Oryza sativa Japonica Group: one gene and its partner. Each later gene encodes a partner of the first gene's protein in a complex. Links are inferred from orthologs where the notes say so. Each region holds a gene or a part of one and is shown in the gene's direction. Other genes may lie near its edges. The genes, in order: glutamyl-tRNA(Gln) amidotransferase subunit A, chloroplastic/mitochondrial; glutamyl-tRNA(Gln) amidotransferase subunit C, chloroplastic/mitochondrial.

The links.
Region 2: glutamyl-tRNA(Gln) amidotransferase subunit A, chloroplastic/mitochondrial (region 1) and glutamyl-tRNA(Gln) amidotransferase subunit C, chloroplastic/mitochondrial share a complex: the UniProt entries of both Arabidopsis thaliana proteins name them as parts of the heterotrimeric GatCAB amidotransferase (AdT) complex. The link is inferred for Oryza sativa Japonica Group from reciprocal best matches to the Arabidopsis thaliana genes AT3G25660 and AT4G32915.

The regions. Positions count from the first base shown.
Region 1 is NC_089038.1:33,240,269-33,252,105, reverse strand, and holds glutamyl-tRNA(Gln) amidotransferase subunit A, chloroplastic/mitochondrial, read left to right. Parts: upstream 1-5,406; 5' UTR 5,407-5,494; coding exon 5,495-6,043; intron 6,044-6,362; coding exon 6,363-6,674; intron 6,675-7,237; coding exon 7,238-7,417; intron 7,418-7,513; coding exon 7,514-7,608; intron 7,609-7,692; coding exon 7,693-7,768; intron 7,769-7,943; coding exon 7,944-8,021; intron 8,022-8,131; coding exon 8,132-8,225; intron 8,226-8,306; coding exon 8,307-8,356; intron 8,357-8,582; coding exon 8,583-8,696; intron 8,697-8,847; coding exon 8,848-8,931; 3' UTR 8,932-9,219; downstream 9,220-11,837. Other genes in the region: beta-ketoacyl-[acyl-carrier-protein] synthase III A, chloroplastic, read right to left, coding at 80-198, 299-401, 1,667-1,803, 2,365-2,513, 3,363-3,577; V-type proton ATPase subunit D, read right to left, coding at 11,504-11,837. UniProt on the Arabidopsis thaliana protein: Allows the formation of correctly charged Gln-tRNA(Gln) through the transamidation of misacylated Glu-tRNA(Gln) in chloroplasts and mitochondria. The reaction takes place in the presence of glutamine and ATP through an activated gamma-phospho-Glu-tRNA(Gln).
Region 2 is NC_089037.1:26,136,460-26,148,039, forward strand, and holds glutamyl-tRNA(Gln) amidotransferase subunit C, chloroplastic/mitochondrial, read left to right. Parts: upstream 1-5,399; 5' UTR 5,400-5,497; coding exon 5,498-5,731; intron 5,732-5,838; coding exon 5,839-5,879; intron 5,880-6,272; coding exon 6,273-6,328; intron 6,329-7,067; coding exon 7,068-7,122; intron 7,123-7,202; coding exon 7,203-7,278; 3' UTR 7,279-7,518; downstream 7,519-11,580. Other genes in the region: probable E3 ubiquitin-protein ligase BAH1-like 1, read right to left, coding at 1-143; rhomboid-like protein 15, read right to left, coding at 8,725-8,730, 8,829-8,903, 9,345-9,398, 9,480-9,531, 11,368-11,507. UniProt on the Arabidopsis thaliana protein: Allows the formation of correctly charged Gln-tRNA(Gln) through the transamidation of misacylated Glu-tRNA(Gln) in chloroplasts and mitochondria. The reaction takes place in the presence of glutamine and ATP through an activated gamma-phospho-Glu-tRNA(Gln).

The DNA.
Region 1 (11,837 bases):
GACGCTCATACTTAGTACGGAGTAATAATTTGGTGGATAGTGGAAAGCATATCGATATTTCAGCAAAAGTAACAAATACCTGAACCAAAACAGCACCAGCAGCATCACCAAAGAGGATGCATGTACCTCTGTCTGTCCAATCCACAAATTGTGAAAGAGCATCGGCACCAATTACTAGAATATTCCGGATGCCTCCACCTACGAAATTGTCATATATTAATCGAACAAGGTGACAACAACAACCTCCTGTGAGTGTTTGATAGCCAACAATCCTCACAAGGAAAAAAAAAAGAGTTACCTTTGATAAAACGAGTAGCCGTAATTAAACCAATAATAAACCCACTACATGCAGCAGTGATATCAAAGCCAAATGCATTTGCGCATCCCACCTCCGCCAGCACCTGTTTATATTTTTACCAGATGTTTTTAATGCAAAATTGTGCACATCTTTTTTTAAAAGAACATAAGAGAGCAGTCAAGTTAATAAATCAATATACATTTATGATGGGAATTTATAGTTTTACTGGTAGATGTAGTTCAAAGCGATTAAAATACTAAACAGGCAAGAAAACATAGAAGGAAATAAGAAAGATACAAAGACCGGATTCATTGTGTTATTGTGTATATATTATTTTATAGCTACTCCATCTGATGCTACATATAGGAAGTAATACAAATGTGCAACCAAACATTTTAGTTTGACCATCAGTATGTCAAAAATTATCGAGATTGGTCAAGTGTGTATTGCAGGATATAATATGAAACACACTTTCGTAATATATACTTACCTTCATGTATAACAACATAATACTCCTCTATTCAAGAATATATGATGTTTTGGATACTATCGTGATCTCCAACACCTTGTTGTCGTAACATTTTAATAGCTATGTATAAATTTAATAATATTTTGAATCTTTCCCACAAAAAAACTTCTATGCTACCATTTCACATGATCAATCTCAATTGTTTGTTACATATTAGAGGTCAAAATTTAAGATGTTTGTCTAAAACAGAGAAAACAAGTCAACAGATGGGAGTGTAACAGGAGATATTTTTATGGTCCTATTCCTTGGGAGTACATACATCGTGATTAACAGTAGAATATACCTCTACCACTCAATGTCTCCTAAGGATAAAAAGACTCATAATAGAAAAACTAGTGGTCAGGGAGTAAATATAAAAGTGTCAATCTCCAACATGAAATATATACTAGCAACTGGAGTTGAACAACAATTCATTGAATAAACCTAACGCTAAAGAAAACCCCATTCCACTCTAGTTATGCTATACATTAAAATACAAACAGATGTAGATTATCAAGAATGAGATGACTTTAATCAAAACCAGGAATAAGCAGTAACTCGCACAATACCCACAGGTGGCATACATGTAAAACTAATTAAGAAGTAAATACACACAAGACCATGGTCCATGGGATTGGGGCCAATATCATTACTTTACAGAACATAACATAATTTACATCTAACATACTAATATTCTTACTTGCAATTGGGAATGTCATGCAATTCTGATCTTTGAAGACATATATTAGGTTGAGAGATAATTACTTTCTCTTAATATTTTTAGTAAGTAGTAGTAAGAAAACATGTGAACGATAACTACTACAATATAGTACAATGCTAATGCATATTTCTAGCCATACCTGAGCAGCACCTCCAAACAGATCATCTGGGGTAGACGTGCAAAGGAGAACAAGGTCAACATCATCAGCATTTACTTGAGCCATCTCAAGAGCTTTTTTTGCTGCCTGTACTGAAAGCTCGCGCAGTGTCTCATTTCCTAAACATGAAAACTATAAATTACTCCTGAGAATAAACAAATGAAGCACGCTGCACACCTGAATAGCTATTGATCATAATACGTTCACAACACAAAAGACCAACTTTCAATGGTGTGGTTCACATCTATTGTATTAAAGATAACTAGAATAAATATGTGAAAAGTGCCACGCTGTTTATATACAATCTTGGAACAGTAACAAGATACATGTTTACTGGAGTTTTACTTTGGTAACAGCAAATTATCAAAATTCACTCTTATCTATCTTCGTACATAGTCTGTGAGCCATGGTATCTGAATGATGCTGTTAAGCCTAGACCATAGACACAAAAATGCCTTGTAGCAGAACATATGTTCATCTATAATCTATCAACATTCTTCATAGAATCAACAAGTCCACGATGTAAAAATACTTCAATCATCAATGGTGGTGTGATGTACCAATCAACTATGATGATGTGCCACAAATATTTATTATGCATCCACATAGAGGAGGCACAACTGACGCTAATGAAACTAACTTGTCATGAAACTCGATGGAATAAGGTGAACTAGAAGTACCTGAAAGAACTCGCCTATTCCGAATCCCAGTCCGTGCTGCGATCCATTCATCTGATGTTTCAACTATTTTAGAAAGGTCATCATTTGAAACGCTAAGCGATGGAGTGGCCGATCCGCATCCAATGAGTTTTGAACCCATACCGACGACCCTACAGGTTCCCATTAATTTTATGAGTTCATTCCACAGTCGAAAATAATTTAGACTCCTTAACAAAAAAAGTGCAGATCAACGAGTAAGTCCAACCAGTGCTGTTGGACCAACCATAGCAATAGTGCTGCAATACAGTGAAAGGTACATCAACTGCATCATTTGCCACCACATTTAATGACAATGCTGGTCTATAATAAGAGGAACCATGAGGTACCATTCTTCCGCTATACACGGAAACGGCCTATTCCGGTCACACATAGTAACAATAAACGAGTTGAGGCAAATTCACATCAGCAATGGGGTATCAAAATATCTCAATGGAGTATCAAAATATCAGAGATTCTGAGCAGTTATAGCAATCTGACTACATAAAACTAGTGCATTTCGACAATAAGAAGCCCACATAAACCCCTAGTACAAGATTATAAGGAAAGTCCCGGTGGCACTCCGATCCGACCAACCTAATAAATGAACAATCATCACAGGCAACGGCAAATTTCCCACCTAAAACCCTCTACCACTGAACAACCAAAGCACATTGAGCAGCATGCGTGATTTAAGTCAAAACCCAGGCTAAATCAACAGCATGCCAACTGAAAAATCGCACCATTCTTACAGAAACCAGGGGAAAGCCCCGCAGTACGCACAAAAATCACATTAATGGTAACACCGTTCGCGATCGAACAACACGCAAATGGTACCTTCTGCGCGAGGTGAACGGACTGTAGGATCTCTTTAACTTTTACACAACCAGCCACATCTCGCAGCCAAAGTGCTTAACCACTGGACCACGAGCCACGCGCCCACGCGTGGGGCACACCGGCACAGAGGCACCGCGGGGGTTTACCTGGGGAGGCGGGGCTTGGGGGCCGCCGCGGCGGAGACGACGCCGTCGTCGACGGTGGAGGCGCAGCACCGGAGCTGCGCGGCCGCGGGCCCCGCCAACGCCACGGGAGCGGATCGGAGGAAGCCAACCCGGTGGTGTCCGCCGCAGCCGCGCCCCGCCGCACGCGGGCAGGAGACCGCCAGCCGCGGCGGCGCGAGGCCGGAGGCGGCGACCATACCTGAAAAGCAGCCGGAGATCTCGCGGCGGCCGCGGCCTGGGCTCGGGCTCGGGCGGGGTAGGAGTTCGCGAGCGAGGCAGCGAATCACTCGGTCAATGGCGGCGAGCGGGAGGGGAGGGGAGGAGGGGGGGCATGCGTTGCTGTACGCGAGGGTGGGGGGGAGAAGATGATATAGGCGCGGGCGGGGGAGAGGACGGCGGCGGCGATGGGAACGGTGGGCGGCGGTGATGTCTGCGAGGGTGGGGTGGGTGGGGGCCGCGCGCGAGGGGGTGGTGGGGGGCGAGCTTCGGGAGCTCCGCCCGGAGGAGGGGGGAGGGGGTTTTTTAATGGGAGCGCGAGCGATGTGGGTGATGACTGATGACACAATCTAGGGGCTGGGTTGGCTCAGGTGTTCGGTTTCGCCTTCGGGCACGTTCAACCTCAGGGGGCGTTGCGTGCTTCACCGTGGTTTCTTTTCTTCTTCCCAGTCATGACTTGCCTGCGCGATGAGAAATGTGAGATTGTGACCGTGAGGCGTTCTTTTTTTTTTTTTGGTTACTGCGTCGACTGAGAATAAAAATATGTTAGCAGTAGACATGATATTGTTACATAAAATTCCATAAAATTTTATGGTATATATACATATGTTCTTTTAACATAGCTGATCTATATGTGGATGTATGAGATGTAGATGTACGTTTATTCTCTTCTTTATAAAGTTAAATATAGTACATTAGTAGCACTATTTTTCTAAGCCTACATTATTAGTACGTACATAATTTAATTAGTAATTGTTCTATTGATTATAGTTATATATATGTGCATATGTGCTAATATGGTACCGTCTTAACCCTTACGTATGGTTTGTCTATTATGCATTTAGGTTCTAAACGACCCACGAGTCCACGATGATAATATGGTAGCTACAATGCTAGGGGCTATGTCATGTGATTTTCTAGGTCAGTGATTGACTACTTGTGCTTGTGATTGATAATTTTGCACCGTCACATTTGAATTGATTCCTTGATCATTGACTATAGCCATTGCTTATTGACAAACATTTTCAGGATTTTAAAAATATTTTATATTTAAAAATACTTAGTGTTACTAACTCATGAAATCTTAGACTATTTGGGTTATAGGTTATAAGTAATGGTATATTTTCTTATTGGCTATATCTTTTAGTCATATTTTTTAAGAAGAACAGTTGTTTCGTTTTATGTCCTAAATTTTAATACCTACAGTATAGTTTTTCTAATACACGAGATATAAGAGAATTAGGATAAACAAAATTGATTACGTTCTTGAAATATGAATTATGAGAGATAAAGGTATGATTAAATATGAGATGTAACATAGAGAAAAGAGTAACTAAAATTAAGTAAAAAAAATGTGCCTCCATATTTTTTAACAATACCTTTTTTGTGGGGTTAACAATACATTTCTTTAACTACGTAGTTATATCTAGAACAATAATATGTTTATAAAAGAGGTGCAAATCATTATTTTTTATACGATACTGACAATTACAAGCTACAACATTGAATAACTGTACATCTAGAACAGTGAATTTAGACATTTAAATATATTTTTTACGCATGTGATGAGTTTCTAATGTGAAAACAAACTAGTTTTAACTTTTAAGCTCTCTTTGGAACAAAACGTTCTCAAATTTTGCAGAAATGGTCTTGGAGCTGCAGTCCCTTTTTTTTTCGAGTACAGAAGGGCCGCCAATTCCGATCGTGCGGCCACCAATCGTCACAGGGACACGTGTCCTCAATCGAACGATCCATTCCGTCTACCCCAATCCAATCTCCAAGCCCGAATGCACACCTCCTTCCCCTCTCCACGCCTCATCTGCTGCGCCCCAAAACCCCGAACCCCCACACTCACGCGCGGCGGCGTTCGCCGGAGAGCCTCCCCTCCGGCCGCCGCCATGCCGCCGCCTCTCCAGGCCCAGCGCCTCCTCCTGTCCCACCGACGCCTCCCTTCTCCCCACCTCCGCTGCTTCACCGCCGTCTCCTCCCTCCCGTCCGCTCCCGCCAAGACGGTGGCGGCCGCGGCGGCCCACGCCCCCTCCTCCATCCTCTCCATCCGCGAGTCGCTCCTCTCCGGCGAGAGGACCGCGGCGGAGATCACCGCGGAATACCTCTCCCGCCTCCGCCGCACCGAGCCGAGCGTGCGCAGCTTCATCCACGTGGCGGACGCCGCCGCCGAGCGGGAGGCGGAGGAGCTCGACCGGAGGATTGCCACCGAGGGGCTGGATGCGGTGGGGCCTCTGGCCGGGGTGCTCGTCGGCGTGAAGGACAACCTCTGCACCGCCAATATGCCCTCCACAGGTGGGTCGCGAATACTGGACGGTTACCAGCCGGCGTACGATGCCACTGCGGTGCGGCGGCTTCGTGAGGCGGGCGCCATTGTTGTGGGGAAGACTAACCTAGACGAGTTCGGCATGGGGAGCACTACAGAGGGCTCCGGGTTTCAGGTTTGGATACACTAAGACCAGTTCATTGTATCTTTCTAGTCAGAATTCGTTAAAGTTTGTAATCTAGAACAGCAAAAATGTGTTTATATTTGTTAGTGAAGTCCAATGAAATCAAACACAGATATTGTATATTTGGACTTATCAGTGTGAAACTCAGTTCATATCGCTGGTTGGCTTCTTGTAGCATAGGAGTATTTTCTTAGCAAGTGCTTCACCTATGGTTTTAACCGTTGCATAACATGATAACAAAGCATTATAATGCTTGAAGCAAAGTGTAGATATGGGGTGATCTGACTGGTATTAATGGTGGTATATGCAGGTCACAACAAACCCTTGGGACGATTCACGTGTGCCTGGGGGATCCTCAGGTGGTTCTGCTTCTGCGGTCTCTGCTAGACAATGTGTGGTATCCTTAGGGAGTGATACAGGTGGAAGTGTGAGACAGCCAGCATCATTTTGTGGTGTGGTAGGGTTAAAGCCAACCTATGGCCGGGTTTCTCGTTTCGGCCTCATGGCTTATGCTTCATCACTAGATGTTGTGGGATGCTTTGGTTCATCAGTTGTTGACACTGCGACAATCTTGTCAGTAATTGCTGGCCATGACAAAATGGATTCAACTAGTAGCTCTCATGTATGGAACTGAAACATATCCTTGTCTTACATTTTTCCTTTACCTTTTTAATTCTGATATGTTTTTTGTCTGTTTCAACTGTTACAGAATTGAAATCTAGTGATCCTTAGGCATCTATACTCCAGTTTAATAGCTAGGGCTAAAAAACATTTATCTCAGCTTCTAAGCAATGTAGATATCAGAAACAAAAACTTGCCCAGCAAGATCCTATGTTGCATTGACAACTATCTTTCTGTGACTGATTATCTTGATGTCTGATCATTCCCATAAATCCTGACATTAGTGTGTTGTGGTGTGATACTGATGGCAATCTTGTAATAAATTTGTGGTTAACAATCTTAACATTGATTTGGCAAAGAGAAACTAACTGTTGTCCATCTCCATCTTATAAAGTTCTGATTTAATACATTGCATATAAAAAATATGGTAGGTTTACAGTTTTGTTCCATTATCTTACCATGATTTTGGTCACCTTAAGATTTACACATGTGCAATTGGATTTGGAGCTAGAAGACAGAATGCGTAGGCTTGCTGAATCTGTTTTTTTTTGGTTGCTTCTATAGGATGTTTCAGACTATAAATCAGAGTTGGTCCCACTAGATTTGCTAGAATCAAAACCATTAAATGGTATGAGAATTGGAATTATTCAAGAAACTCTTGGTGAGGGTGTAGAAACTGGAGTCATATCATCAATCAAGGATGCTGCTTCTCACTTGGAACAATTGGGATCAGTGGTGGAAGAGGTTTGTTACTCTTCTCTTACACTAAAAAGTACGTTATTTCTTGTTTCACACTGAGTTGTTGAAAAATTAAAATATTTATGCTGTTCTACTTCTCAGGTTTCTCTGCCTTCATTTTCTCTTGGCCTACCCGCATATTACATACTGGCTTCATCTGAAGCCTCTTCTAATCTATCACGTTATGATGGTATCAGGTGATATTTCTGTACTTTAATCTCATCATTTTCCCTGTATTCTTAAAGTTAGAAATATTTATATTTTCCAGGTATCGTTTACAGGTATGGGAGGCAGGTTTCAGGCGATGACTTGAATGAACTTTATGGAGGTTCCCGGGCTAACGGTCTGGGTCACGAGGTAGTCCATCAACTCCCACCAACCTCCATCTCTTATTATTGGAACTTATCATGACTAACTTAGCTATCTATAACCAATACGGCAAGTTTTTTGTGCATCACATGGACCGCAAATCGTTTGCTGGTAATTTGCATGAGAAAACAAACAATCTAACATTGTTCTGATTATTTTTCAGGTCAAAATGAGAATTTTGATGGGAACTTATGCTTTATCTGCTGGATACTATGATGCATACTACAAACGAGCACAACAGGTAATGATAAGACAGTAGCATCCTATGCACTTTGCATTTTGATAATTTTTACATCTCAGCAGGCATTTGTGCAACCAAAAAAAAAATAATAATCACGTTCACTGTAGTAGGTAAGGACACTGGTTAAGAAAAGCTTCAAAGAAGCTCTGGAAAGATACGATATTCTTGTTTCACCTGCTGCGCCATCAGCAGCTTACAAGATAGGTATGCTAATAATATGATTATTTATTGTATGATTCCTTCACTGCTTTCCTTCAGGATTGACAACTCAATAAATTTTGGCAGGTGAAAAGATAAATGATCCATTAGCTATGTATGCAGGAGATACCATGACGGTAACAATCCTTAGCATATTTCTCTTGTTTAGATTTACAGCTACTTTTGGGTTTGCTCCAAAGTAATCCATTGTCTGCTGCATTCTGCAACTTCCTAGTTCTTGCAAAATTTGGTACATGTTGGTAAAACTACTAACCTCTAGTAGATAATCTCATGGTCACAAGTGATGTCAAACGTTCTGCAGTAGGAGAATCTTAAGGAGTGGTAGTCTAATGACTGATGCAGGTGAATGTTAATTTGGCTGGTCTCCCTGCATTGGTTGTGCCTTGTGGATTTGTTGAGGGTGGATCTGCGGGGCTCCCAGTTGGACTTCAGATGATTGGATCCCCCTTCAGTGAGGTAATAAAATGCTATTGTTGATCTTGAATGCTGGCGCACCAATATCACTTGTTCCATGCTTGGCAGTTTATTTTCTCATTCTTGTATTTTTCTAGCAATTTTCTTCTATTTGAAAATCCACCAATGATCTGTTTTATTTCTGTTTCACTAGGGGAATTTGCTGAGAATAGGGCATATCTTTGAGCAAACGCTCCAGAATTACAGTTTTGTCCCACCATTGCTGGCAGAGAGTTAGCTGCAATGCGCCATCAATCATCTCTGCCTTGTTCATGGCTTCGAGGCCCTTTCTATTCAAGACAAGATTCTTTTCATGTTGTATATTGACCGAGACAATTTGTTAAATGCTTGTATAATTGATTGGGTTCTCTCGTGTAATAGTTGTTTAGAATTGAGACCATGTGATGGCCCATCTGGAAACAGCACACACGCGGCCAAAATTGGTTCATATTAATTATGTTTTTTCCCTCTATATATTGGATAATAATAGTAGAGGGAGGGACAGGGAACTGTTCGTGAGTCGTGACTTCATGTTGTCTCAACGTCTTGGGTTTTGCGCAGATGGATAGTTTTTCAGTGTGGTGTGTTTCAGATGTACCACACGTGTTTCAGTCGATCTGAGTTATAGAGGATGTATATTCTGACCCTTTCTCATCGAAAGAGGGATGTGTTTCAGATGTAACACACGTGTTTCCGTCGATCTGAGTTATAGAGGATGTATATTCTGACCCTTTCTCATCGAAAGAGGGATAGTAGTCTTTCTTGAAACTCTCCACTGCTGAAACTTAACCGGAAGATTTGAGCTAGGCCGTTTTGGAATTTATTTTTCCTGCCCAAGGGATGAACAGCTTTATATGAAAATCTTCAGGATCGATAGAAATGTGAAATTCTCGAGAAGCTTTATGCGCAGATGGTTTTTATCCTAGCAGCAGTCGGCAAAATGAGAGCTTAATTATTCTTTTCCCATCCACGACAATTCAGAACGAAAAGTGTGCTGCTACAGTACAGAGTACAGAATTACTCAACCAGATCGAAATACACTTCGAGTCTGCAGCTTCAGTTTGCGAAACCCCAATCAACGAACACCTTTCCAAACAAATATATAGCTAAAACGAACATGGCAAAGAAATACAGCCCAATTGAATTAACTACGAAAACTGCACATAAACAATCCATCCGTTGGTTGGTTCCAAGTACAAATTATTTGTGGTCTTTTGGATGAACAGAGTCCAGACTACCGCCTGAAACAAAACCTCCGCCACTCTATAAACAGGTGCGATTCTGGAGCTCCAGCATCACAACTTATTATTTCCACCACTGCAAAGAGAAGCAACAGCGTGAAAACTTTTGGGAAACAGAGTTATTAATTCCACATGTGAATGCTACAATAGTCCACATTATTAAAGCTGGTGTCACAAATGAACAGAAGAAACAATTTCAGCCACAGTAGGTAGCACATCTGTCAAAAAGCAGAAAGACCACATGTATCTATGCTCAATTCCAGTTTGTCAAGATTAAATGATAATCTAAACTTTTATTCTTCAGCTTCATCAGTGGACAGTGGTTATGGAAAATGGCCTTGGTTTTGATAAATTTGAACTGTCATAAAATTTTAAAGTAAACTAAAGGCTCCGCTATTAGTTTGCTTTGTAAAGGAAATGCAACTCAGCGACTCATAGCACAAAGAATCCATGTCCAGTGAACCTCTGGTTCATGCAAACTAGCAGGTCCAACTTGAAATTCATCTGGCCTTCAGAGTTGAAGGATCAGCTTGCAGTTTTAACCCAGATACACATGCACTGCATTTAACATTTGTCATGACTTCTGACAACACAACTCATGATTTCTACGCAAAACAAAACTAATCTCCTTGGCATGCTGGCATTACCATGTCCCATCTCTCTCTATCAAACATCAGCCATCCCTATCTGCTTTAGTGGTTAACTCAATTTATATTTATCTTGGGATGTGTTGATGTGATTGAAACTAAAGTAAAATTTTGATAAGAAACATAAAACTCCTCAATAATAAAACCTTGATATTTAAGGAGTACTAATGTACCATCACGATGCTTTCCTAAAAGTACATAAACCAACTTCACTTCTCTAATATGTTGCCTGCAATTTATACATGGAGACTAAACAGTGCAATGCTTAAGCCCATATATAAGTAATGCTACAAATTGGCACTTATCTATTTTATTTGTAAGATCCTACCACACCTATTGATTTAATGGCATGCACAGAGGAATACATTCAAGGTGACCGACCTGCCTATTAAACTCGATTAGTTAGCACATGGCTACAATAGACGATCTAGGTATGAAGCTTGGCTGGTCAATTGGTCATATAGGTGACTAATATTCATTTACTAAAGCTTATTTACTACACTTCAATCCTATAAAGCATAACCGTGCAGTTGGCAACACTTTTGCCAAAAAAAAAAAAGATAATGTGAAGTTGAATGTCAATCATCTAATAAGAATAACTATATAATCAATCATGGCTATTGTCAACAGCAGCTTAGTTCCAATCAACGATACAAAGCTTGAATAGGATCATTAGTTTGATATCTTGACATATCTAACAAAGTAAATTGCATCCATCTAAGAACCACTGTTCCTAAAAACAGTTATCTCTAATTGATGCAACTTAACTAATACTGAAGTCTGATATATTAAAATTGTAGTTCTTATGAAAAGAATGTGCCACTGTGAACACATCTATGAGAGGTTTCCAATATCAGATCACAAAAATAGCATAAAGCATCAATACTACGCACCGATTGAATCACTGTATGACCGAAGATGATCAGAAGATGATGTCTTCGTCCCTCTCTCCACCGGCAACCAACATGTTGGTGGCAGCACCCACAGAGATACCCCTCTTGAGGGCAACCTCCTCCGCAAGCTGTTCCTCTGCGAATTGCTTGGCTGCAGCCATCTGCCTCTCGATCTCCCTCTTCTTGTAACCCTGGATCTTCTTGAGCCTGAAGAAGTCCTCACGCTCGAGCTCGTCCAGCTCCCCCTTGATGTAGCTGATGGTGTTCTCCAGCCTCGGCTTCACGACGTTCTCCAGCGCGTTGACACGGCGGTTGGTGGTCTTGATGGCCTCATCGAGGGTCAGGAAGGACGTCTGCAGCGAG
Region 2 (11,580 bases), on another chromosome or scaffold:
GGGCAGTCTTCTTGCAATGAGCGACCAACTCGACATTTCTTCAGTACCTTTTTGAGACGTTTGTACTCCACATGTGAGCACTTTGTTAGGTATTTGTCTTGCTGTTCCCGAAGATACTCTTCATATATTGCACCGAACTTCATCTTGCCTACAGAAAAAGCTGAAAACTAGCTGAGACCATGTGAAGTTGCATTGTACCACATCAAAATATAGTTACCTACAATATCATCCCCTGATAAAAAAAAAAAGAAAGAGTGTTTCAGCTGTACTCTTTTCCAACACAGTAATCATGCCGTGAGGTATTACAACTCCCAGTGAGTTCTATACTTGCACAATAAGAAATTTTAAAAAGTAAAGACACTTTCTTCAGGAATAGCTTGTAGCGATGAACCACCCTAAAAAATATCATAACTTGTAGCAAGGAACAAAATTAGGCTTGCATGCATTAAATCAGACAGATAGTTTTAGTACATAACAAAAGCTTACTTGACATAGCAGGTATATCGCACAATTACAATGGTTAAAAATTAATAAGATGGTAAATATGGACCATAAAAGGTGCAAAACTTATGATCCTAAAAAAAACTAATATCATACATAAGCCATTAGCTGTGTCTTTTTTTTAAAAAAAATATTAGTTCAACTTAAAGAAAACAAAACAAGAAACTACTGTTCCCCCCATTTTGGTTTGTTGCTTGCGCTCAGCACTGAACAAAAACTTGAACATGTGGCAATGTTTATCAACCCAGCTGGCCACAAGCCCACCAAAAACAGATAGGAGTTGCCCCTCGTTGGAATAGGATAAGACGACAACACGCTGAGAAAAGTAGCAGACAATGATTTGAACGGATTGCACACTTGTACTGACTTCTAGGAATACATTCCATTATTACATGACCACGTATGTTGAAAGTAGTTCCTTTCAAGGAAAACAGAGACCACATATTTAGAATCTTCCAAAAAGCACATATCACTAATGGATCAAGTTAGAATCATAATATGTGTTAAGACTTCATTCAAAACAATAAGGTATGTGGTTAGACAATAAGATGAGAGCTGACTTTGTAATACCTGACGTAGAAAACCATCCATTTAACTGATCTGGATGTCCTAATATGACACGAAGTCAGTATCAATCGCTTGAAGAACAAACAACAACAGTAATCCTTTTTTTAGATGGCCAGTACAAGTAATCTGGATAACATGACTAGGCCTTTTGGCTTAATTTAGAGGTTGTGCAGGTTAAGAAGCAATTGCATGTGACTCATAACTCACCCAGGAAAAGCAAATCATCTGCTTTACATGGACAAATGCAATGGATTAGTGTAAACACGACTGACAACTCAACTCACACGTCAGATGAAAAAGAAAAGGCTCACAAAGGAATTAGGAACAGGGGACATGGACATTGGACAGTGACCAACGGAATCTATTCCGGCATGAATCGAACTACCAGGAACCAAAAAAAATAAAAGAATGAAGAAGAAGAAAAATGTTTTTGGTAATAACAAAGAGAAAAGGAAATAAATGTGGAAGTGCGCATTCGATCCGCGTTGTGCCCTCTCCCGAATGAAGCGCTCTAGCAGCAGAGTTGGAGAAGGCAAATTTCGTCCTGATGATCTACACCCCCATCAACCCACAAAATTAACAACCGCCCGCCGATCGAAAGAGCAAATGGCGCGCGGCGCGCGGCGGGAAGAAGCACACGCGGACGGAACAAGGAGAAACTGTTGCCGCTTTCCGGCGGCGAGGGATCAGGATCACTACCTGCATGCGTTGGCGGCGGCGGCGGCGGCGGCGCGGCGAGTCGTCGATCGTGGGGGCGGGGGGCGGCGGCGCGGCGAGAGGAGGAGACGAGCGCAACGGACAGAGAGAGAGAGAGAGAGAGAGAGAGAGAGAGCTGATCCGGTCTTAATGGGAGTGGTGCCCGCGGCGGCGAAGGCGGCGGCGGCGCTACGGAAACCGCGCTTCGTTTCCTTGCGCGGTGGGTGTCGTCTGGGTGATGGATCGGGCTCGGAATAAATAGGGCCCCCACCTGGACGTGGGGCCCACACGGCAGCGTCGGCCATTTTCCACTTTTTGTTTCTCTTTCCCGTTGCCGTTGCGTCTGCGTGCTTGGCTGAGCTGGGCCTTTCCGTTTTGTCCTCCTCCTCTTCACAGTTTGAACGGAAATACGGAATGCTGCAGGCCCTTCGTTTCATGGTATATTTGCAAAACAAAAAAATAATTTATCAATAAAACTTATAGGGCACGTAGAAAAGTAGAGTTTAATATGAGCTATTTATATTAATTAATATCACTAGATACTATTCTCCTACAATAGTAAAGACAATAAGATTTCTAAATCATTAGTACGCTAAATAATTTTTTTTAATACTTCTTTCATTTTCTCCACACTCATACAATAAATTCTCCGATAATAAATGCTAAGAATCGGTTCTAATCTGTTGTTGTTTTTTCTTCCTTTCCTCTCTTTTTTCACGTCACCAAATTTAATTACATGATAACGAATAGAGTCCATTATTAGATACCACTATACATGCTATACGTGTTCTTGAAGATCTAAAAATAAAAGCTGAAAAATAAACTACCATAAAAAGTCTTAAAATCAACTGTAAATTTAAAAATAAAATAATTTAAATTTAGCTGATAAGCATTAGCTGAAAGATGAGACGCTGGTTTACAGGCAGCTGCAGGAGCGGGGGATCGGAGTAGAGAGTAGCTAGGGCTTTTTTTTATTGAGAGGCGAAGGAGCACTCTGGACGGATTAGGGGAAACCTGGGCCCACCTGGCTGCTGCCGTCACGACTCTCAGGATGGCACTTCCTTTGTTAGTGGCCAACAAAGTTATCGTGGTTAATTACTACGAAGTACTACTGCTAGTATAGTTGGTTGGTTGGTAAAGATTATATTGGACGGCTTCGACCACTTTTCTTCATGGCGCAGTCTGAAACCAGTTGGTGCGCATGGCACTACCGGCGGCTCACGTGTGTTACTATCGAGCATCCGTCGGCTACATGAACTACGTGACGTATATGAGAGGACAACGTGTTGTTTTTCATTGTTAAAGAATGCAATACACACACCAAAAGTAGTTTATATATATATATATATATATATATATATATATATATATATATATATATATATATATATATATATATATATATATATATATATATAGAGATGTGAAACAAATAATCCACACTAATAATCTGAAATAGCTGAGAAAAATCTAGTGCCTTTTCAGTTTCTCGCTCCGTTTTATATTATAAACGGAGGAAGTACTACTTAAAACATTTCTTCCACAGTTCCACTTCGAGGAGCATTTTTTACTTGTAAATAGTCATCATTACCAGCAATTATTTTCATTCAGAAAGTGTTTCGTTACTCAATTAGCTTGCACGACGAAAGCTTTGTTGACCTCGCAAAGACCCATAAAAGTATAAGATATTTTCTCTGATCCTAATTATAATATAAGTTGTTTTTACATAGTATTTCTATACTACAACAAAAAAAAACTCGAATGATTTTATTTTTCTTCATGTATATTGCAGTAAAAAAAGATGAATCATTTGTTTGAGTTAACATATAGGAGGACTGGTTAGCAATCACAAACGGGGAGGAAAGACGAAAGGTAATTAAGAAGTTCTTCTACATTTGGAATTCGAGGAAACACATGCATGCAAGTTACTTTGACGAAAAAGTTAAAACTTTTTGACAGTTCAAAAGCGATTGAAGACAGTACCATATCTACGAGCTGAGAGCTTCAAATGACATAGTACAATTCATTCAAGGAGCTCATGTTATCGATGTTAATTATGAAAATTAAGATGTCTGTAGATACTTAACCCTAATTCATAAACAATAAAAGCATATGTTTTATATTACAAGTAGGACTTCATCCTAATGATTTTTCCTTGCATAAAAAAGTCATGTTGTAATTTATTCTAGATACAGCCGACCCTTAAATGTAGGCGATGTTCATATAATTTTGTTTTAAAAAAATGAGCTAATAGCCAAATGATGGCACATATAGTGATCTAGGCCATTAAACTACTGATGGTCATCATGGCTACTTTGACATAAAGGTAGAAACAGATTAAGTATGGCCACTCCTTTGTTTTGAACATTGCTTTAGAAGTGGGAATTGATATGCTCCCTACTTGCCTACTTAAACACTAAAAGAAATGAATTCCAAATTTTTAAGTTCAAACTTTAAGCTGTGGTATACTCAATACTTTGGCTGTGTTTAGTTAGATCCAAAGTTTGGATTTTGGTTAAAATTGAAGATGATGTGACTGAAAAGTTGTGTGTGTATGACAGGTTGATGTGATGGAAAAGTACTGAAGTTTGGATCCAAATTTTGGATCTAAACACAGCCTTTGTTGATTGAACCAAGTTATTAATTCCAAATTGTTAACTACTGAAATTCCATCTTACATTTTCCTCCTTACAGTTTTAATTTAGGCTGTGATTGAAACCTTATTTATTTAGTTTTACAATCCCCTCGATTACCATGAATATGCTTTTGAAATTGCTAAATGTACGTTCTTTTTTGTAAATATTTTTTATATGGAAGTTTCTTTTAGAAAATTAAACAAACTTATTTTTTTAAGTTTATAATAGTTAATACTTAACTAATCGGTAATGTCATTTCTCGTTTCATATGCGGCAAAAAAAAGAAGCAAAATTTAAACTAGCTTTCAAACATAGCCAAGCTTTCAATTTGGAGATTCAAAATTAACTCTCAATATCCAGAATTTCCAACCCACAACATAAAAATACTAGACTAGCCCGGACTTTCCAGCAAATATGAACCTTTCCTTCGTTGTCAACTCTTCATGCATCCATTTTGATTCTTCAAAATCTCCTTAGAATTTTTGTGCATTTTATGAGTTCTAGAACATAATTACTATATGTATGACTCCGACCTGCACACGTACAAATTTGTTTTCAACTGGGCCCACTTGAATGACAATGAACTTCGTGATTGGTTGGTTCGACACAGTCATACGTGAGTCGGATGGAGTTAGGTCTGAAGTAGAGTTGTGGAGCTATCTAAACCCAGCTCCACCACTCTAGTTTATTTTGTGAGAGAGCTCCACCTAGCTTCGCTCCTATTTTAGGTGAAGCTGAAACTGTTTGGCTGAGCTCCAGCTCCAGAAAAGATAGAGTTGGAGCTGAAGCTGTTCCAAACATGCCCCTACTTCTCGTTCTAGAAATGCCTTTGGGGGGCACTAACCAATTTTGAAGGGATTCCTGTGCCGGGGATGGGAGTAAATGAACAAATGTTGCTTCTCCTATGGTTTTGGAGTGCGAATGTTGCGCATCCCCAATCTCAGCCGTAGATACAAGATCTGACGGTGCAGATGGAAGGGCAGGATAGTAGCAGTGGATAATCCTCCCCGGCCCAAATCCGAGAGACCCAGAAGCCGCCGCCGCCGCCGGAGTCTGTTCCTCGAATCCTTCGCCGGAGGTAGCCGCGGACGACGGCCATGCTCTCCGCCGCCGCCTCGGCCATCCCGAGGCTCCGCTGGGCCGCGCCGCCGCGGAACCAGTCTGCGAGGAACCAATGGTTGCTGCTGCGGCGGCGTTCCCTCTCCTCCTCACCTCCCTACGTGACGCCCGGTATCCCGGCGGCGGCGGCGGCGGCAGGGAGTGGGGCTCTCGAGCCGCCGGACCTGCCCCGCCTCGCCAACGCGGCACGCATCTCTCTCTCGCCGGAAGAGGTCAGCACACTTCTCTATCTCTCTTGTCTCTCGATGAGAAGAAACTCTCTGTGACGGAGGCTGATGATGCTTTGCTTGTTGTGCCTGTGTGTGCTCTCGCCTGGTAGGCTGAGGAGTTCGCGCCGAAGATTCGGCAGGTGGTGGATTGGTAATTTGTTTCTGTTCCTCCCTATGCGTAATTCAGATATTTGGTTTTCAGTACTTTGAAGTTCGCAAGTTTGGAGCAGATAAGAGTCTGTAATAACAAAGTAATGCAGATTAGGCTAGGATGGTTACTAGAACATCGGATTGTTATTTCATAACAAAGTAACTAGAACATCATATGGTGTTCATGGCAAATAGGATGGTTCTTGTTGCTATATCTTAAGTTTGTGGGATGATCAGAGAGACATGTGATAAATCCTTGTGGTGTTGTATGTGCTGTGATGAGGTTATACTTGTATTGAGAAGAACCTTGGAGCACAGAAGTAAACTTATGTTCATGCATCGCGTTTAATACAATTATAAATCTTCTTTCCTTACTTTTTTATTGTCGTTACAGGTTTGGGCAACTTCAAGCCGTCGATCTTGAATCTGTTGAGCCTTCACTTAGAGCTGGTATTCGTCCTGATCTTTGCATATCATCTTGAACTATTGCTTGTTTGGTCCTATCATATGATTTGGTAAAATGACTCAGAGTAACTCAGTTAGCTATTAGCCTATTACAAAGTAGAGGTTTGTAGTTCAACTGGCAGTTAGCCATTTGCTTCATTCTTGATACAGTTCAGTTTTGTGCAATCGTCTAGGTCGTGATACACTATCTTTCTTGATTTGACTATCAGAGTAGAGTTATTTCATAACTGAGCAATGCAACTAACTAATGTTTTTTTTTATACATATGGTTTTGGAATCTTGACGTGTTTATGCATGCTTCACTTTTTAGTGCTGCATTTGACCGCACGCATGGTTTGCATTTTAATCCCTGTCATTTTACTTGAATTATGCTACATGCTACACACCTGAAATCAAAGAACCAAATAAGAGGGATAACACAACCAATTACTTATGGTTTGAAAAATGAATTTTGAGTTATGATATGCAACAAAACAAGACAGCGAGTCTTCTGAGTTCTGAGTGTTCTATTGGCGTTCTTCATTAATTAACTTTAGTTCAGTATTTCAATGCTTTCATACACATATTTGGTTTGCTTTCAAGAAAATTACTGTATAGACTTACTCTTCACTACATTGCATCTTTGCACAAATGTCCTACTACATATTGTTTCCATTAGTTATGTCGTCCTACCACTGCAGTGTGTTACTGTTACCTGCTTTGCGCTTGACTGTCTTGTCCACAGGTACTGCGGCAGGTAATTCATTGAGAGAAGACAGGCCTGAAACATTTACTAACAGGTAGTAAACAAATAACTCTAGCCATGTCTTCCGTTAGACTATTGTCATGTGATGAACACTATTTTTTTTCATCACCGCAGAGATGCCATAATAGAGTCTGTCCCAAGCTATGATGATCCATACATCAAGGTGCCAAGAGTGCTGAACAAAGAATGACCTGTAATTTGTAGATCAATTTTTTTTTCCGTTGCACAATGTAACATGGTTTAGCAATAAATCTTAGTAGTCAAGTTTAGTATCATTTCAACTGAATGATATGGCTCGAGATCATGATGTCAACATTTGTAATTTGTTTACTATGGAAGCTATTTTTAATAGTTTAATATTGTATTATATTTTCAGACCAGAAACATTTGATTTGATATGCTTGATTTCTGTTCAAAAATTCTCAAATGCATGCAGCCATCTACAAACTGATGATTGAATCTCTTGTGAATCCTACTAAAGTGAATTAGATTGGATAAAAGCCCATGAGATTATTTGGCACTTGGATAGACTATGCTGTATATTATTTGGCCCTTGGGTGCTCTATATTTTTGCCAGGTCGGCCAAATCTTATTAAGATTGAAGGGTAAAATTTGTGTTGTTACAAACATCGACAGAGCTGTCAAACCAGGAAACTCGGCTGAGATTCTCTACTTTACAGCATTTCAGCCGTTACAGATTTTAAACAACCCTGCCTCCCTCCAGACGCCAACCTCTTCGCGGATGTCGCAGGAGAGCCGCTCAGCCGGCCGATACTTCTGATCAAACACCCCGAGCATGAAACCCGAGTCAAAAGCGTTCCTGTAGCTCAGCCGAAAACGCAGCCTACCCTGCAGCCACCACTAAGATCCATACCCAGATTCGCCAGGCAGCTCAAAAACCACTCCCGTCCAGTCCCATCATCACTCATCAGGTGCCATACACGGTTGAGAAGATTGCAAGCACATTGAACGAAAAGGTGCTCAATCTTCTGCAATATCAGAAGATTGTAAACACATTGGACAAGCAGTCCCTGGGGCGCTCCAAACCAGCGCACAGTATGAATAATAGGGACCTGGGAGCATATCCAATTTGAGACTTTTACACCTATATGGGGGGTCTAAACAAGATTCTAGCGCACATCACCGATCTGAACAAATTCTAGCACATATGTAAACAAGATTGGAGGCTCGTGCTTTAGCCATTGAAACAATGTTTGCCATTGCCAAAATTTAGTAGGGTTGAAAATGGTAGCAAACCAAACGGCCCCCCTTCTCCTGCTCCGTTGGCTCAAGATGAATCAATTGTAAGTATGCACCGATTTTTTTTTCCTTTGTAAAAGCTTTATTGTCTAGCTAGACATATTGCCAAATAGCAATTGTGAAGATCTGCCAACAAAATGAGCGCCCCGAGCATCAATTACTGTTTTACTAATACATCAAGAAACAGCCTTCAATGCAACTATTGTCATTGTTAACTGTAGTTTTGACCTTCATAGAAGCACAATTAAGGGCATCTTCAATATAACCATGTTGGCAAAAACAATTGCCCAGAATGGTCCATTCTTGAATTTTACTAACCAGAATCTACACCCTAAAATTGAGCCTCCATCGCTTGCTATCAGTGATGTTGAAACCTTTAACCCTAGGAATAAGGACAAAGCAACAAACAAAACCTTAATAATGTCAGGATGAACCATATTAAACAACAAATGAATAAATTAGTAAAATATCAAGACAAACCTGCTGACTCATGAGAATCTCAATAGCAACATTTGGATCTCCATCGGCAGCAGCAAGAGCAACTTCAGCTTGAGTCTGCAGCAAGGTAACCAATACATCAGTGGAAGGCTTTCTGTGGCCATATGGACAACACAAATACCTAGTGTATAGCTGAAATAATTTGTGGGCTCTTATGAAACCATGCGACATAACTTTCAGCTAGAGTCTCCCAACAATAATAGTGTCTGACATAGGTCCTGTTCTTTTCTGATTAAGATTCAGATTTTACATCAATAAGGATTCAGATTTTCCCAACATTAATAGAGTCTGACATGGCCATCAACGCAATTAGTTGAAAATCTGACAACTATTTAATCAGATAGATGAGTATCGAGAACAAATTGTCCATTTGTTTTACTTCTTTGCTCCAAATTTAGCATGGCTAAAACTGCTGAGTTGGGCATGATAAGTGAACTAGCACAAGTGAAATAAGGCGATTGCTAGGAGAATCTCATCCTAGGACAGGGCATTAATTACCTTTTCAAAGCCCATTCCAACCAGCTTCTTAAGTTCTTCATCAAATGTATCAACCTGCAAAAGATAGTCAATTATCATGATTAAATCAATATCAACATCCAATACTAAATCATTAAAAGGTACATAACACAGAACCTGGTCAGCTGCTACAGTTGCATCAGCTCTGACTGTGTTTGCTGCTGGATGCCTATTGTAATGGAAAACCAGAAGTAAGAACTACAAAACAACTAGGTTTATTCTCGTATTAGAAGTGTCACAGTTCTTAAATCTTAAGGATGGTTTTGCTTGATATTTCTCATATATCACTATCAGAAAGTTCACATAAGCCAGTGACTGGCTTCTCAGGGGCATCTTACATAAAACATGAGACATTGTTTATGAAGTGCAAGTAGATGATATCATGGTAAGGATTAAGTCATAAATCTCATAACAGTATATAGGGTGACTTCTGATTATAAATATCCTTTAACTCTGTGGAAGTAAACCATTACCTGAGTTAATAGCTATCTCAAATGTCAGAGAAGAAATTGAAATTACAGCAGTACTAAAAAGGATGCCAACTCCATTAGCGTCATTGCATCGATTCTTTTCTTTTTTGGGATGGGTCATTTTATTGAATTAGTATAAGCATTAAATATTTAATCATTTTAGAAGGCATAAATCACTAACTGGATAAAACTGACAATATTAGTTGTAGCTATCAAATGAGATGAACGCTTATAGGCACTAGGACAACATATATAATTGCTGAACAACAACAAAAAACCTATCCTGTGAAAGCTAGAATAACCAGCAGGAACCAGCTGGTTCCCACCAGATTACCCAATTCTAGCCAAAAAAAATCAAGTGTCGATTTTTTTTTTTACCTGACAAGCCTTGTTTTATGAAGTGTCTCAGTACTTCTCTTTTTTATTTTGCATTATTTGAGAAATACTTGATATGTTCTTTGATCATAACATTGGCAGAAAATTCAAACAAAGCATTTTAATTATTCAATCCTGCACCAGGAATTCTGCAATTCCAGAAAGCTCCCTAATCCTGTAAGTGACTATTTGCATCAAAATAAGTTTTTTTTTTATCCCAAGAAGGCTGTGTTAGATGACTCATGTTTGTGGGCAAGAAGTCAAAGTTTATGCGCTTCTCTTGATATGCTCGAAATTAACTCAACTCAAAAGGAAAGTGTGCATATCCCAAGTCTGCCTTGAGTTCAAAATCAAAGCCAATATATTCTAAAAGATTATAACCAGAAATGAATACCAACTGTTCCTATTATGAGCCCTAACAACAATCCTGAATTGAGGGTACCAATTGGCACGATCTGGGGTCTTGGAAATCATTTGCATGCAAATTTGAGTCATCATAAGCTTATTTTTTTGGTATCTCCACCTTTTATATCATACTCTTCTTTGGATACTGCAAGTTTGCGGCGAGATTTATGGAGTTTGATTTTAAGTACACTATTTCAAGAATTACAATTTCGTATAGCAAGATTAGCCTATTAATGATAAATCAACCATGAATGCATCTGAACCAAGCTCAATTTGGGTAGCTTCCATTGAGCAGAACTTGAGGTGGTGCACTAGCCAAGCAAGGATCACTTGAGCACTGCTCAGTTCTCACCTGTGTAGTGCGGAATTTCAAAACTTTGAGCTTACCTTTGCAAAACATATCATTTTACTAACTAATTGAACAGGGACTTATTACTGGGACGAATAGTGCTAATTGCATAATGCAAACATTCAAACTGACTAAAGAAACAGAACTTGGTAAATGCTAATTAGAGCTAACAAAATGTTTAGTCTGATATAGAAAAAGAACACAACAGAAGGTGCTCCAACAAAATGCTATGGAGTACCAATGACCAAACCAATTATTTATTTAAACTATTAAGTACTGTTTTAGAAAAGATCGTTTTGTATATTCAAGTTATTCAGGCTTCATATGAGCTTCTGGTTCCAATGCATAGGTGATATTCACCAGATGTCTACCGTATTAAAGAAATGCCAAGTAGAAAATGCATTACTGTGAACTCGTAAGCGGATCACTTGGAGTTGTGCTATCCAACAAGCTAGCATGCAAATTTGCACTTGCCTCCCTTGCAGTTGGTTCAGTTCCAGCAGAACTAAGTGTCCGTGCTCTCCCTGGAAACCTGGGATCTTGTTCCTATAAGAGAATATTCAGTATGGTGTTCATCTCAACACATATTTCTGGGATATAATGTTCAGATCCATGCAAA